4 linked regions of the Macaca mulatta genome follow. The protein of the gene in region 1 purifies or fractionates together with the protein of each later gene. This does not show direct contact. Links are inferred from orthologs where the notes say so. Each region holds a gene or a part of one and is shown in the gene's direction. Other genes may lie near its edges.

The links.
Region 2: the proteins of AURKB (region 1) and SEC16A purify together in Homo sapiens (affinity purification with mass spectrometry; 3 studies listed by BioGRID and IntAct, with this or other methods). This does not show direct contact. The link is inferred for Macaca mulatta from reciprocal best matches to the Homo sapiens genes AURKB and SEC16A.
Region 3: the proteins of AURKB (region 1) and G3BP2 purify together in Homo sapiens (affinity purification with mass spectrometry; 3 studies listed by BioGRID and IntAct, with this or other methods). This does not show direct contact. The link is inferred for Macaca mulatta from reciprocal best matches to the Homo sapiens genes AURKB and G3BP2.
Region 4: the proteins of AURKB (region 1) and PPP6C purify together in Homo sapiens (affinity purification with mass spectrometry, with the first as the bait; 3 studies listed by BioGRID). This does not show direct contact. The link is inferred for Macaca mulatta from reciprocal best matches to the Homo sapiens genes AURKB and PPP6C.

What each region holds. Positions count from the first base shown.
Region 1 is NC_133421.1:9,727,390-9,731,687, reverse strand, and holds the start of AURKB (aurora kinase B), read left to right. Parts: upstream 1-1,498; 5' UTR 1,499-2,302; intron 2,303-2,957; exon of another isoform or gene 2,958-3,029; intron 3,030-3,487; exon of another isoform or gene 3,488-3,698; intron 3,699-4,298. UniProt on the Homo sapiens protein: Serine/threonine-protein kinase component of the chromosomal passenger complex (CPC), a complex that acts as a key regulator of mitosis.
Region 2 is NC_133420.1:6,037,235-6,040,734, forward strand, and holds part of SEC16A (protein transport protein Sec16A), read left to right. Parts: intron 1-273; coding exon 274-519; intron 520-2,132; coding exon 2,133-2,230; intron 2,231-3,500. UniProt on the Homo sapiens protein: Acts as a molecular scaffold that plays a key role in the organization of the endoplasmic reticulum exit sites (ERES), also known as transitional endoplasmic reticulum (tER).
Region 3 is NC_133410.1:58,161,530-58,164,663, forward strand, and holds part of G3BP2 (ras GTPase-activating protein-binding protein 2), read left to right. Parts: intron 1-48; coding exon 49-151; intron 152-1,606; coding exon 1,607-1,735; intron 1,736-2,295; coding exon 2,296-2,414; intron 2,415-3,134.
Region 4 is NC_133420.1:22,615,210-22,618,709, forward strand, and holds part of PPP6C (serine/threonine-protein phosphatase 6 catalytic subunit), read left to right. Parts: intron 1-2,105; coding exon 2,106-2,185; intron 2,186-2,348; coding exon 2,349-2,558; intron 2,559-3,500.

The sequences.
Region 1 (4,298 bases):
CACCCAGACTGGAGTGCAGTGGCACGATATTGACTCACTGCAACCTCTGCCTCCTGGGTTTGCGCAATTCTCCTACCTCAGCCTCCCAAGTAGCTGGGATTACAGGCGCGTGCCACCGTGCCGGGCTAATTTTTGTATATTTAGTAGAGACGGTGTTTCACCATTTTGGCCAGGCTGGTCTTGAACTCCTGACTTTGTGATCCACCCGCCTCAGCCTCCCAAAGTGCTGGGATTACAGGTGTGAGCCACCGCCCCCGGGGAAGAGGGTCATAGCTTTCATAAGGGTCATAAAGGATTTAGGCCTCCCCTTCTGCAGAGATTAAGTTCTTCAGACCAGGGAAGAAAGAGGTGACTGGATTATTTTGCAGAGAAAGCTGGAGCCCAAGGGGAGGGAGACAGGAATTGGAAAAGGGTAGGGATGGGGGAGGAGATGCCAGATCAGCCCTGAGAACCTCTTTACCCGTCTCAAAGACTTAGGACACTAATGGGAAAGACTGGGCTAACTTCTGCCCTTCCCCACTGTCTGCCCAGGGACACCTGGGAAAGGACAAATAGGAGCTGAATCCTTCACTGAAGGCCCCGTCAACGTATCTATGGGTTGGGCGTTAGGAACGGCCTGGCCCCACAAATCACATAACTGGGGTGTAGAACAAAATGGTTCCAGAGATGCTACCAGGCTGGTCCAGGACCGATGCAGGCCAGAACCCCGCGGGGAGGACTCCCCAGAACAGGCACTGAGCTGAGGAAAGGCAGAACACGTGGTCTGCTACTGACTCCACCAGATCTTCTGGGACTCTGGGCAGCTCCGGAGTACTGCTAAGTCCCCAAACCGGGTCTACAGGTCTTAGACCACACTCGTGAGGCCACTTGCCTCAGAGCCTTCGGGGGGGTCTTAGGAGGCAGGCAGGAAGGTCTCCTTCTAGGCCATTCTAGGAGGGGACTGGAGAGCAGAGGTTAGACCGGAGGGTAGGGGTAACCTGATCTTACAGTCCAGAAGCCACGAGACTAGTCGCCTGGCCTTGCGCCCCGCCCCACTGCAGGGTGGAAAGCCTGTCCCACTCCAGTCACCCAGATCAATAACGCCCTCCACCGTGGGTCTCCTGGGCCCCAGAAATCGTTCCCTCTTTCCCTCGCCTGGGCACTGCCACGCGGTCTGGGGAACCCGTAGTCTATCGACGGGTCTGGCCCGGGGTTTGCCCTGCCCGTTAGCCCAGGAGGATAGACAGACACGGGGAACTGGTGTTCCCCTAGTGATTTCAAGGCTCATTAACTGTCTCCGACCCGTCCCGAAAGCAAGCAACTCCACCGCTTCTCTTCAAAGCTCTGCAACGAAGGACTAGGTCCAAGGACCGCAGGCGGAGGCGGGAATTGTCAAGATCCCAGGTTACGGAATGGCACCGAGTCGGTGACCAAAGGAAGCAGGAACCCGGGTGTTCAAGGCAGTCCTCCAGGGCGGCGCGGGGGCTAGGCTGAGGCCACTCCCTTCCACTTCCTCGACGCTATTTCCTGGGAGGAGTTGGAGCTGGCGGCCCAGAGCCAAGGGACTCCCAGACCCGTGCTCCAAAATACTAGGCTTGGGGGAGGCTGGTTCCTGAGCGGCGCCAGGACCGTTCTGCCATGCATAGTGGACCCGGCACTACAGCTAGCCTGGCACGACCTCTAGGGCGGTTCGCAACGGCATTCGTACGTCGGCTCGTTGGTCTAGGGGTATGATTCTCGCTTCGGGTGCGAGAGGTCCCGGGTTCAAATCCCGGACGAGCCCTCCTTTACGTTTTGCTGAAATAAGAGTGTCTTCAAGGAATGTGTTACCTGACCAGCGCTGCAGGAGGCTTCACTGGAAATCATCAATGTACAGTAAGCTCTTTTGTGGCACCGGGGTAACAGAAAGAATCTCAGTCCCCAGACCCGCCTGGCATGTCAGGAAGAGACGAGGCACGCCCAGACTTGGGCAGGACGCTCCCTTTCTGCTTCTTGACTTCCTGCGTGGTGTCTCAACTCCGCCACTACAGCCTGGTTTCGGTTTGATTGACACCCATCAATCTATAGTTGTGGATGACAGTGTTCGGGAGAGCCCAGGAACTGTCAGAACTTGGTTCTCTGCAGCCCTGGAGGTACTCTGTCTCTTTCGGTCACTCCGTCTGACGATGGGTGCCTGAAATACACCTACAGTTTCTGGTCGGCTTTTCTCGGTGGTCGGAAGAACAGAACCCTTAGGAACTCTGCTGTCAGCAAGCCGAGTGTAAAGTCCCAGATCAAGGATTTGGAGACGACCATTGACGGGTCACTCCTCGTTAGTATAGTGGTGAGTATCCCCGCCTGTCACGCGGAAGACCGGGGTTCCATTCCCCGAGGGGGAGAATCCAAATGATTTTGCTTTCATTAAATCCGTCCTGGCCCCTGGGATGGAGCTAGAAAAAAGAGGGAAAGGAGGAGGGGAGGAAAGTTTGGCCTACCTCTCCAGCTCGCATTCTAAGTTTCCATTTTAGTTCAAGCAACTTGGAGTTCAAACGTGTACCTAAAGTGGCCACTATCTCCTCCGCTCAATATGTTCATTAGTGCTCAAACTTGATCTAGCTTGCTCCCTCCTTGACGGCAGTGCGCATTTCCAGTCTCTGCTTGAACCTGGGCAAGCAGCCATTTGGCCCCCGGCTGTCCAGGGTGCAGAGCCCGGGCTTTTGTTTCCTTTCACCTCCCTGCGTTTTGTGGATTCGCACTGCGATCCGGGAACAGTAGGCAACCCCGGGCCGAAATTCCGACAGGCTGCTCTCACCTGGAGGGGCTTGCAGGGCGCATCCGCCAGGAGCGCGGTGGTCCGGCAGTGGTCGCAGGTGTAGCGGAAAGCGGGTTCTTTCGGAGAGGACGGTTCCTCAGGAAAACCTCACGAAAATCCTCAACGATGGTGGGGCCCAGAAAACACGAGAAAGAAAAGAGGGAAAAAAAAAAATTCAAAATGCACTTGCGTTGGCCGGGAATCGAACCCGGGTCAACTGCTTGGAAGGCAGCTATGCTCACCACTATACCACCAACGCTTAGGTACTGCTGTTTTCTTTCATACCTCATGTTGATTGCGGTGAGTCGCGTTGGACCCGTGCGGAGCCAGGGAAACAGCATCAGCGAGATCCAGGTAAAAGTAATGGCTGCTGTCGTCTGCCCGGCGCAATTGTGCGTGACCTTTACCGCTAGTGCGCGCCACCCCACATGAACCTGTAGGGTTATGCCCAGTCTACAGACGAGGAAACCAAGGTCCAAAGAAGTTGAGTCACCGGCAGAGCTGGGATTACATCTAAGATCTCTCCAGGGGGCGAGAACTGCAGCGGCATCATGATGATTTATCATCTCCAGAAAAAAAAAAAAAAAAGAGTCCTAGACGCATAAAAATCGCTTCTCTGTAGAGTGGGCTCAATGAGCTCAATGTGATTCAAGTTAAGGAACTGGGCCCTAAGTCAAATGCGCCTAAACACAATTTGCCTCTTTATTATTTATTCAGATTCCTACGTACGTGCGCCCACATCTCGTCAGCTGGTGCCTCGCAGAAATGCGCTGACAAATCTTAAAGATACGGCTTCATGACAAAAGTCCTCCCCTTATTGCTGTTCAAGAGACCCCTCAAGTCACCCTCTCGGGCAGGCCTCGTGGCGCAACGGTAGCGCGTCTGACTCCAGATCAGAAGGTTGCGTGTTCAAATCACGTCGGGGTCAAACCAAACATTGTTTTCCCTAATCAAATAGATTTACGGTGACATTTTTAGGGACAGGACAAAAAAAACCTCCTCAGTAGAAGGATAGGAGGGGAATGAGACAAATGTGAACGTTATTCAGAAGTTGGGTACAATTTCAGTTGGGTACAGACTTTCAGCACTATGTGATATATCCCTGAGGCAAAACTGCACATGTACCCCTAAAGTCTATAAAAGTAAAAATAAATTTAAAAATTAAAAAAATTACTGTTGTATGGAAATTTTTTAAGAATTTTTTTCAATTATTATTGTTTGTTTGTATCTTTTTTCCCTTGAGATGGAGTTTCTCTTTTGTTGCCTAGGCTGGAATGCAATGGCACTATTTCAGCTCACCGCAACCTCCAGCCATGGGTTCAAAAGGATTCTCCTGCCTCAGCGTCCCGAGTAGCTGGGATTACAGGCATGCACCACCACGCCCGGCTAATTTTGTATTTTTAGTAGAGAGGGGGTGTCTCCATATTGGTCAGGCTGGTCTCGAACTCCCAACCTCTGGTGATCCGCCCGCCTGGGCCTCCCAAAGTGCTGGGATTACAGGTGTGAGCCACCGTGCCCAGCCTTTTTA
Region 2 (3,500 bases), on another chromosome or scaffold:
CTGGTCTTCATTTCGTCTTGGGCATTGCATGCTCAGCCTCCTGGCGGAGCAGGGCGAGATCCGCCTGCCCAGCTGTGGGAGCCTCGAGGACTGGGTGGGGAGGGAGAGGGAACATGCGGTTGGGATGAGATGAGGTTTCAGTCCAGCCTTGCCAGCCTTTCGGGTAGTTGTGGGTCTGGCTGTGTCCAGGGTGGGGCTTTGTCCCCGTGATGATCTAATGCGTCCTCACCTGAGAGCCATTGTTCTCCTTCCTGTTCCTGTTGACCCGAACAGACCGTGGTAGGGACCGACATTGCGGAGCTTCTCTTACGAGACCACAGAACAGTGTGGCTTCCTGGGAAGTCGCCCAATGAAGCAAACCTGATTGATTTCACGAACGAGGCGGTGGAGCAGGTGGAAGAGGAGGAGTCTGGCGAGGCCCAGCTCTCTTTCCTCACTGGTGGTCCGACGGCTGCTGCCAGCTCTCTTGAGAGAGAGACGGAGCGGTTCAGGGAGCTGTTGCTGTATGGCCGTAAGAAGGTGCGCCTGCCCATCATGGCACCTGGCGCCTGCAGGTGTCCACTGGGTCGGGCCTGGTGCGGGCGATGCAGCCGTTGGGGAGGGACACGGCCCCTCTCGGGAGCGTCCGCGCTGCGGTGTGGGGCTTCGGGTCTTGCTGTTTCGTGAACGATGCCGGCCTCTTTTATGCCATCCTTCTGGAGGTGTTCATGTGGGTTTCCTTCTAACTATTTCCAGTGTTGGAGACCTGCAGATGGAATTTTCAGTCATTCAATAAATGCACGTGTTGAGCACGGGCCGTGTCCCTGCTGTGTGTGCCAAGTCTCAGATGAGACATGCATGACACGAGTTTTGGCATTCTCACAAAGTCAGGCTCGAGTCCACAGCCCAGAAGTCGTTGGGAGTTGGGAGGACGCACCCAGCCTGTCAGAGGCGCAGTGCATGGAAAGGCCACGGGCAGGGGAGCAGCCAGTGCGTATAGCGTCCAGTGACTGGGGCCACAGCAGCCTGGGGACCAGGGCAGGTGGGGGACCTGAGACAGGAGCCTGCTCTGGGACAGTGGGATTGGGGGGTCCATAGCGACTGCAGCAGGGACAGTGTGTTCACAGGAGGGCCTGTCTAGGGCGCATGATGTCCGCTTTGGATGTGCTAAGCAGGAGAGAGGCCAGTCTCACGGGCATGTGTGGCCCTGAATAGCAGAGACATTGGATAGGCCCAGAGCTCTCCGTCCTTTTATATCATGATAAACTCAGAAAGGGCATATTTGGCCAGTACTTTTATTTTTTTAGTTTTATTTTTTGAGACAAAATCTCGCTCTTGCCCAGGCTGGAGTGCAGTGGCGTGATCACCGCTTAATGCGGCCTCGACCTCCTGGGTTCAAGTGATCCTCCCATCTCAGCCTCCTGAGTAGCTGGGACTACAGCTGCACGCCGCCACGCCGGGCTAACTTTTTTTTTTTTTTTCCGTAGAGACGGGGTTTCACCATGTTGCCAGGCTGGTCTCGAACTCCTGGGCTCAAGCAATCCGCCCGCCTTGGTCTCCCAAAGTGCTGGGATTACAGGCATGAGCCACCGCGCCCGGCCTGATCAGTATGAGTCTATTATGGATGTTTTATAACTGATTGAAGTCGTGTAACCTGTTAGCTTTTATTAACATCTTCCTCTACTGTAGCATTTTTGCCTCCTAGCCTGAAGTCCTAAATTATACCCTAGATGATTTTGGCGAAAGGGGAGGCTGCCTTACTGGAGCCACTGTCTGTGCTGACGGATATTCGTGGAGGCCTCCTGTTAGAACCGGGGAATTGACCCGCGTGTGTTTCCCAGTGGACGGGGCGGCGTGGTGGGCAGTGCGGTGTGGTTAGCCCTATTTGTGATTAGCGTGCTTATGTTTTATGCTGAAAATGGATAAAAGCAGCAAATATCTACAGATACCCACTACCACAGGGACTTTGAAACTCAGGAAAATAGTGAAATGCTGACGTGTCTTAATCTCCAAATGGTGAATAAGTTTTTGAGGCCTTTGGGTTGTTTGTGTATCTGCTGCTGCGTGAGGACACATGGCCTGTCGCCTGTCTTGACTCATGTCACATGAGCACCACCGATAACTCACCAAGGCCCCTGGAATGCCTTTTGCAGGATGCTTTGGAGTCTGCAATGAAGAATGGCCTGTGGGGTCACGCTCTGCTCCTTGCAAGTAAGATGGACAGCCGGACACACGCCCGAGTCATGACCAGGTACAGTCCCACGGTGGCCTGGTCCAGTGGCGAGCCCTGCTGGCTCCCTGCAGCACGCAGCGTCCACACTGGTGGCAGGTGGCAGGTGGCAGGCAGATCTCACTTGACTGTGCTGTGCTCCCACACGAACTCGGGCTTCCTTGGCTTCAGGCTTCCTTGGGTTGTGCTGTGGAGAGCTTAAAAAGTTTTTTATTAACCGCATGGTTTTTAATACTTCACATAAAATCTCAGTGAATTCCTTAGTCTTCATCTTTTTTTTTTTTTTTTGAGACAGAGTCTTGCTCTGTTGCCCAGGCTGGAGTGCAGTGGCGTGATCTCGGCTCACTGCAAGCTCTGCCTCCCAGGTTCACGCCATTCTCCTGCCTCAGCCTCTCGAGTAGCTGGGATTACAGGCGCCCGCCACCATGCCCAACTAAGTTTTTTTGTATTTTTAGTAGAGACGGGGTTTCACCGTGTTAGCCAGGATGGTCTTGATCTCCTGACCTTGTGATCCGCCCGCCTTGGCCTCCCAAAGTGCTGGGATTATAGGCGTTAGCCATTGCACCCGGCCTAGTCTCCATCTTTTATAGCTTTTTCTTTAAATTTTGAGTTTTGCTCTGTTGCCCAGGCTGGCGTGCAGTGGCGCAGTCTCAGCTCACCGTAACCCCTGCCTCCCAGGTTCAAGTGATCCTCACGCCTTGGCCTCCCAAGTAGTTGGGACCACAGGCATCCACCACCACACCCAGCTAATTTTTTGTATTTTTAGTAGAGATGGGGTTTTGCCATGTTGGCCAGGCTGGTCTCAAACTCCTGGCCTCAAGGGATCTGCCCACCTTGACCTTCTGAAAGTGCTGGGATTACAGGCGTGAGCCACCACACCTGGACTTATCTTTTACAGCTTTTTTTTTTTTTTTTTTAATATTGAGATAGGGAAAGAAAAATAAAATACTGAGATATGTGTACTTTGCCTAAGTGAAATATAAGTCTAATCATTACATCAGAGGGCTGAGGTCTGGTTTTTTTTTTTTAATTTAGTTTATTACTATTTTATTTATTTATTTTTTTGAGATGGAGACTTGCTCTGTCGCCCAGGCTAGAGTGCAGTGGCACGATCCCAGCTCACTGCAACCTCTGCCTCCTGGGTTCAAGCGATTCTCCTGCCTCAGCCTCCTGAGTGGCTGGGAATACAGGTGCATGCCACCACACCCAGCTGATTTTTGTATTTTTAGTAGAGACGGGTTTCTCCATGTTAGTCTCTAACTTCTGACCTCAGGTGATCCGCCCGCTTCGG
Region 3 (3,134 bases), on another chromosome or scaffold:
TCTCCTGTGGAGTGTTTTTTATAATGTTTTTTTTTCTTTATATTTTAGCCAAGAGTTGAAGCTAAACCAGAAGTTCAGTCTCAGCCACCTCGTGTGCGTGAACAACGACCTAGAGAACGACCTGGTTTTCCTCCTAGAGGACCAAGACCAGGTGAGTCAGCTCTTTTATAGCCTTTAGCATTTAACATTTGTAAGGTTGGAAAACACTGAATTTTAAAAAACCAAGAAACTATGATGTGTTCTATACACAGACCCATATAGTCTCAAATTGCTTAAAGATGTGATGTGAGCAATCCACTAAAATAGTGTCTGGGGCCGAATAACCAATTTTTAGGGAGGATTGGTTGACATGCCATGGTGACATATTTTGAAGGTGTAAAAGACGTTAACAAGTCTTTTTTTTTTTTTTTTTTTTTGAGATGGAGTTTCACTCTTTGTTGCCCAGGCTGGAGTGCAATGGCACCATCTCGGCTCACTGCAACCTCTGCCTCCCAGGTTCAAGCGATTCTCCTTTCTCAGCCTCCCTAGTAGCTGGGAATATAGGCATGTGCCACCAGGCCCAGCTAATTTTGTATTTTTAGTAGAGACGGGGTTTCTCCATGTTGTTGGTCAGGCTGGTCTCGAACTCCCGACCTCAGGTTATCCACCCGCCTCGGCCTCCCAAAGTGCTGGGATTACAGGCGTGAGCCACTGCGCCTGGCCTAGTCACTGGTTTTAAGAGTTCAAAACCAAGTTGCCAATAACCTACTCTCTCAGCACTCTTATCTCTTCACAGATAAACAATAAGCACATTTTGATTCTTAGGTATTAAGTTGCCATGATTTTTGACTTGTTTACATTGTTAGCTATACATGTAATACCTTTATTTGAACTCTGTAAGAATGTTTAGATTGCTTTGGGGAGGAGATGGGAGAGATGGAGATAGTTTATATCACATTTACAATGTTAATTTTTTTTTAAAGTGATACGTTACTGAACTAGAAGTCCTAAATTTGTCACTGATTAAACTTAGGATCTGGAGTGAGACCCTTAAATTCTGAGCTGCTTTTATGTCAAATATTACACAAATTATTCTTGTATTGCCTATTTTCCTCACTGTGTTCCTCGTGTTATTGGGAGAATCATAAGATTTTATGTGTATATATATACATATACACTAATATGTATAGACTACATAAATGTGATAATTGCTGTTAAAATTTACTGATTTGCTGTAATGTCATACAGCCAAAGAATTTTGAATTTCAAAAGACTAAGCAAATATTTAGTAGAGCTGTACCTCACTGTCTGAAATCTGCTTGGTTCCTGGGTGATGGCAACAGTTTGGTTAAGGAGGAATACCTGTACTGGTATTTGATTTTTGTATAATCCAGTAGATCTAGAAGAAGCTATTTTAGCAACCTAGTCATTGTCCTCACTTTACATTTTAGTGTCATGCTGTTTTCTAACCTACTAGTAATAAGTAGTTTTGCCTCTTTTTCAAGAAGCTCACCAACTCTTATTAAACTAAAACAGGAATATCAATATTGTGATTTTTACATTCATTCTGTTGAAGTAGTTTTTATGATATTGTAAACTTTAATATCTGCTCTATTTCTGTTCTCAGGCAGAGGAGATATGGAACAGAATGACTCTGACAACCGTAGAATAATTCGCTATCCAGATAGTCATCAACTTTTTGTTGGTAACTTGCCACATGATATTGATGAAAATGAACTAAAAGAATTCTTCATGAGTAAGTGATTTATTTTGCTGTAGAAGTTTTTTAATTATTTTAAATTAAGAGGCATATGGAGCTTTTTAAATGACTATTTTAAAAAAATGTTTCTCTGTTTATACTGTGTCCAGCTACCAGACTCACCTTAATTGTGCAGAAGGGAGTAGGCTATCTCAGATGTTTCTCAGTGACTGCTTAGTGTTGATTTCGCCTGGCTCGACAGTGTTTAGAAGAAACAGCTGGATAAATCAGTCATAAATTCAGAGATAAAGAATTCATTTGGCAAACGGGTCAATATATTAGGAGAAAACACATTGTCTTTCCAGAGTTACACAGTTTACGTATGAAAGGACTAACAAAGATGCAGAAAGGTAACACAACAGGCAGGCAGGCTACTTGGTATCTTAGGTGATTGCCTGCTTCAGTAAATGTAGGTTGGCTATCACTGTGTGTAGAAGCTTGCAAGTTTTATTTTAAAATGGATCAGGGAGATTAAGATTATTCATCCTGAACAGTTTGAGCCATCAAGGTATTCTGTTAAAAATATTTAACCCTTGATGTAATGTATATTTTCACAGGTTTTGGAAACGTTGTGGAACTTCGCATCAATACCAAGGGTGTTGGGGGAAAGCTTCCAAATTTTGGTTTTGTGGTTTTTGATGACTCTGAACCAGTTCAGAGAATCTTAATTGCAAAAGTAAGTGATTTAAAGGGCATAATTCAAGACTTTATTATTTCGTTGTATATATTAATTTGGGGTATTTAAAAACCATAGAAAATCTTTTAATAATAAAGCTAAAAATAGTTATTAAATGGTATTTATGCAAAGAATAAAGATTTGTTAGCAGTTTGTGGATCATTTTAAATTTTGTTACTTGCTTTGCTGAAGAAGGTGGGAAAGATTGCATGTTAAGAATTTTGGCTGGGTATAGTGACTCACACTTGTAATCCCAGCACTTTGGGAGGTTAAGGCAGGAGGATTGCTTGAGCTCAGGAGAGTTCAAGACCAGCCTGGGCAACAGTGAGATATTGTCTTTTTTTTTTTTTTTTTTTTTTTTTTTTTGAGATGGAGTCTCGCTCTGCCGCCCAGGCTGGAGTGCAATGGCCGGATCTCAGCTCACTGCAAGCTCCGCCTCCCGGGTTCACGCCATTCTCCTGCCTCAGCCTCCCGAGTAGTTGGGACTACAGGCGCCCGCCACCTCGCCCGGCTAATTTTTTGTATTTTTAGTAGAGACGGGGTTTCACCGTGTTAGCCAGGATGGTCTCGATCTCCTGACCTCGTGATCCGCCCGTCTCGGCCTCCCAAAGTGCTGGGATTACAGGCTTGAGCCACCGCGCCCGGCCAAGACATTGTCTTTACAAAAAAAGAAAAATAGTCGGCCATGGTGGTGGACACCTATAATCCCAGCTACTCAGG
Region 4 (3,500 bases), on another chromosome or scaffold:
TCAATGTAGGGCTAAAGGGGAAAAAAATGGGGTGAGGAAGGAGGACATTTTAATCAAGGTGCCTTGACTGAGGAAAATGACAGCAACACAAAATCTAGTATTGAACTTTCTTGTTCCCAGAGCTCTGTTCTTGTAGTGGTGTTGTATGGTTTTGTTTAATAAAATGAAGCTTAACAGCTCCTCGGGAATAAGATAATTTTAGTTATTATAAGACTTACATTGATTTTAAAGGAATAAGATATCCCTATATAACTTTACACTGGGCCTTCAGTTCAACACATGCTGGGGCCGGGCGCGGTGGCTCACGCCTGTAATCCCAGCACTTTGGGAGGCCGAGGCGGGCGGATCACAAGGTCAGGAGATCGAGACCACGGTGAAACCCCGTCTCTACTAAAAATACAAAAAATTAGCCGGGCGCGGTTGTGGGCGCCTGTAGTCCCAGCTACTCGGGAGGCTGAGGCAGGAGAATGGCGTGAACCCGGGAGGCGGAGCTTGCAGTGAGCCGAGATCGCGCCACTGCACTCCAGCCTGGGCGACAGAGCGAGACTCCGTCTCAAAAAAAAACAAAAAAACAAAAAAACAAAAAACACATGCTGGGCAGTTACTATAGAGCCAAGCTCAAGATCCCTGCCTGCAACCTGAGCTCATTGTTAGGGCTCTCTTATGCCAAGTTTACATAACAATCTTGCTTCACATAGATATATAATTGAGAAAATCTTGGGGAGTGGTCATAACCTGCAGACTTCTTTCCTATATCATTTTCAGCTTCACTTAAGGCAATAATGGTATGTCAGGTTTTTTTTTTTCTAAAATTATGGAAGAAGTCAAAGTGCAGAGCTTCCATGGTGTTAACAGAAGAAGTGTGTACCCTATTAACTATGTAGACAGTCAGGGTATAGTGGCTCACACCTGTAATCTCAGCACTGTGGGAGGCTGAGGTAGGAGGATTGCTTGAGCTCAAGAGTTCAAGACCAGCCTGGACAACATAGGGGGACCCCCATTTCTACCAGAAATAAGATTAGTCAGGTGTGGTGGCACATGCCTGTAGTTCCAGCTATTCGGAAGGCTGAGGTGGTAGGATCGCTTGAGCCCAAGTGGTTGAGGTTACAGTGAGCTGTGATCTTGCCACTGCTGATTGCGCCACTGTATTCCGACTTGGGCGACAGAGTGAGACCTTATCTCAAAAACAAAAAGCTATGGAGGCAGCAGGAAGAGTGTTCAACTGGGAATTTGTAAGAACCTGACTGGCAGTCTGTCCTCAGTTGTGATCCACTGAAGCTCAAGTGTTTAGTTGGACAATTTGCAGAAAATCTCAGAAGAGACAACTTGGCCCTGAGAAGAGTTAGGAATTGCTCATGTTCCTATAACTAAGGGTCCTCTAATTTGTTTGATCTGATTATCCTGCTAGAATGGTCTCCTTAAATAAATTTATCTGTTTACCAGAATTACCTAATATTAACATAACTGTAAAAACATTTGCTTCAGGTTGTGTGAAATTTGTATTTGACTCTTCTAATGATAGCATTTTGGTTAATAATTTCAGCTGCTTCTTAGGTCCATTCCAGGAATGAAGAGCAGTACTACATCCTTAGGAAATACAGTCATGTGCCACATAATGACATTTCAGTCGATGATGGACTGTATATACAACAGTGGTCCCGTAGATATAACGCAGTTGAAAAATTCCTATTGCACAAATACTTACCCTTGTGTTACTATTTCCTTACGATATTTAGTACAGTGACATGCTTCACAAGTTTATAGCCTAGAAGCAATAGGCTATATCATATTGCTTAGGTGTGTAGTAGGCTAGACCATCTGGGTTAGTAAGGATATGTGATGATGTTCACACAATGACAAAATCACCTAACAATGCATTTTTCAGAATGTATCCCCATGATTAAGGGACATATAACTGTATATAGTTAATCACTAGTGTTCTTTTGGCTCTATGTGGAGGTCCTAGTAGGACTAAATATGTGTCGTATCTTGCTGTCCTAGTTTAAGCTGAATTTCTGTTATACTGAAAGCTGCTCTAGTATTGGATATATTGTTTATTTTTATTGGCAGATTCATTAATTAAAACCCTTCTGTTTCTTTCACAGATGAGTGCCAAACCAAATATGGAAATGCTAATGCCTGGAGATACTGTACCAAAGTTTTTGACATGCTCACAGTAGCAGCTGTAAGTTTCTATTTTTAAAGTCTCATGTATGTTCCTGCCAATAACACATTGCATATTTTTATCTAGTTGTCATCTCAATTATGTTGATATCTTTAGTATTCATTGATGAATTTAGATATGCCTGAGGTTATATGTTCAACTCTTTGTTATCCTTTTTTGCTAGTTAATAGATGAGCAGATTTTGTGTGTCCATGGTGGTTTATCTCCTGATATCAAAACACTGGATCAAATTCGAACCATCGAACGGAATCAGGAAATTCCTCATAAAGGAGCATTTTGTGATCTGGTTTGGTCAGATCCTGAAGATGTGGATACTTGGGCTATCAGTCCGCGAGGAGCAGGTTGGCTTTTTGGAGCAAAGGTCACAAATGAGGTAAAGCCAGCATTTTTGGAAAAGTAATTTGTAGATTGCTAATGGACTGCATAGAGAACTATGGTGGTCCTAGATAACTAACTTGTAGTCTAGCTTACTCAAAATATGGTGGCTGTGGATATTAAATTTCTAGTTTAGTTATTAATGTATGTCTTTTTTTAACAGTTAAATAAGATCACACAGCGAAAGCACCTACTCCAGCATCCACTTGGTAATAGTGGATAAAGTAAATGTTCTTTTCCTTTTTTTTTTTTGAGATGGAGTCTTGCTTGCTCTGTCGCCCAGGCTGGAGTGCAGTGGCATGATCTTGGCTCACTGCAACCTCTGCCTCCCAGGTTCAAGCAATTCTGCTTCAGCCTCCTGAGTAGCTGGGACCATAGGCGTACACCACCATGCCTGGCTAATTTTTGTATTCTTAGTAGAGACGGAGTTTCACCATGTTGGCTAGGCTGGTCTTGAACTCCTGACCTCAGGTGATCCACTCACCTCAGTCTCCCGAAGAGCTGGTATTACAGGTGTGAGCCACTGTGCCCGGCCGGCCCCCTTCCTTTCAAATACTGTAATTAAGTAACAAAATGTCAAGACCAAACTAGGCAGTACTTTTTTTTTTTTTTTTTTTTTTAAGACCTCAAATCACACAGATACAGACACTTTATTAGTTTCCTCTACAAGAGCCAATAACATCAATCTTTTTTTTTTTTTGAGACAGAGTTTCACTCATATTGCCCAGGCTGGAGTGCAGTGGCGCAATCTCGGCTCACTGCAACCTCTGCCTCCTGGGTTCAAGCAATTCTCCTGCCTCAGCCTTCTGAGTAGCTGGAATTACAGGTGTGCACCAACACGCCTGGCTAATTTAGTATTTTTAGTAGAGACGGGGTTTCACCATGTTGGTCAGTCTGGTCTTGAAGTCCTGACCTCAGGTGATCTGCCCACCTTGGTTTC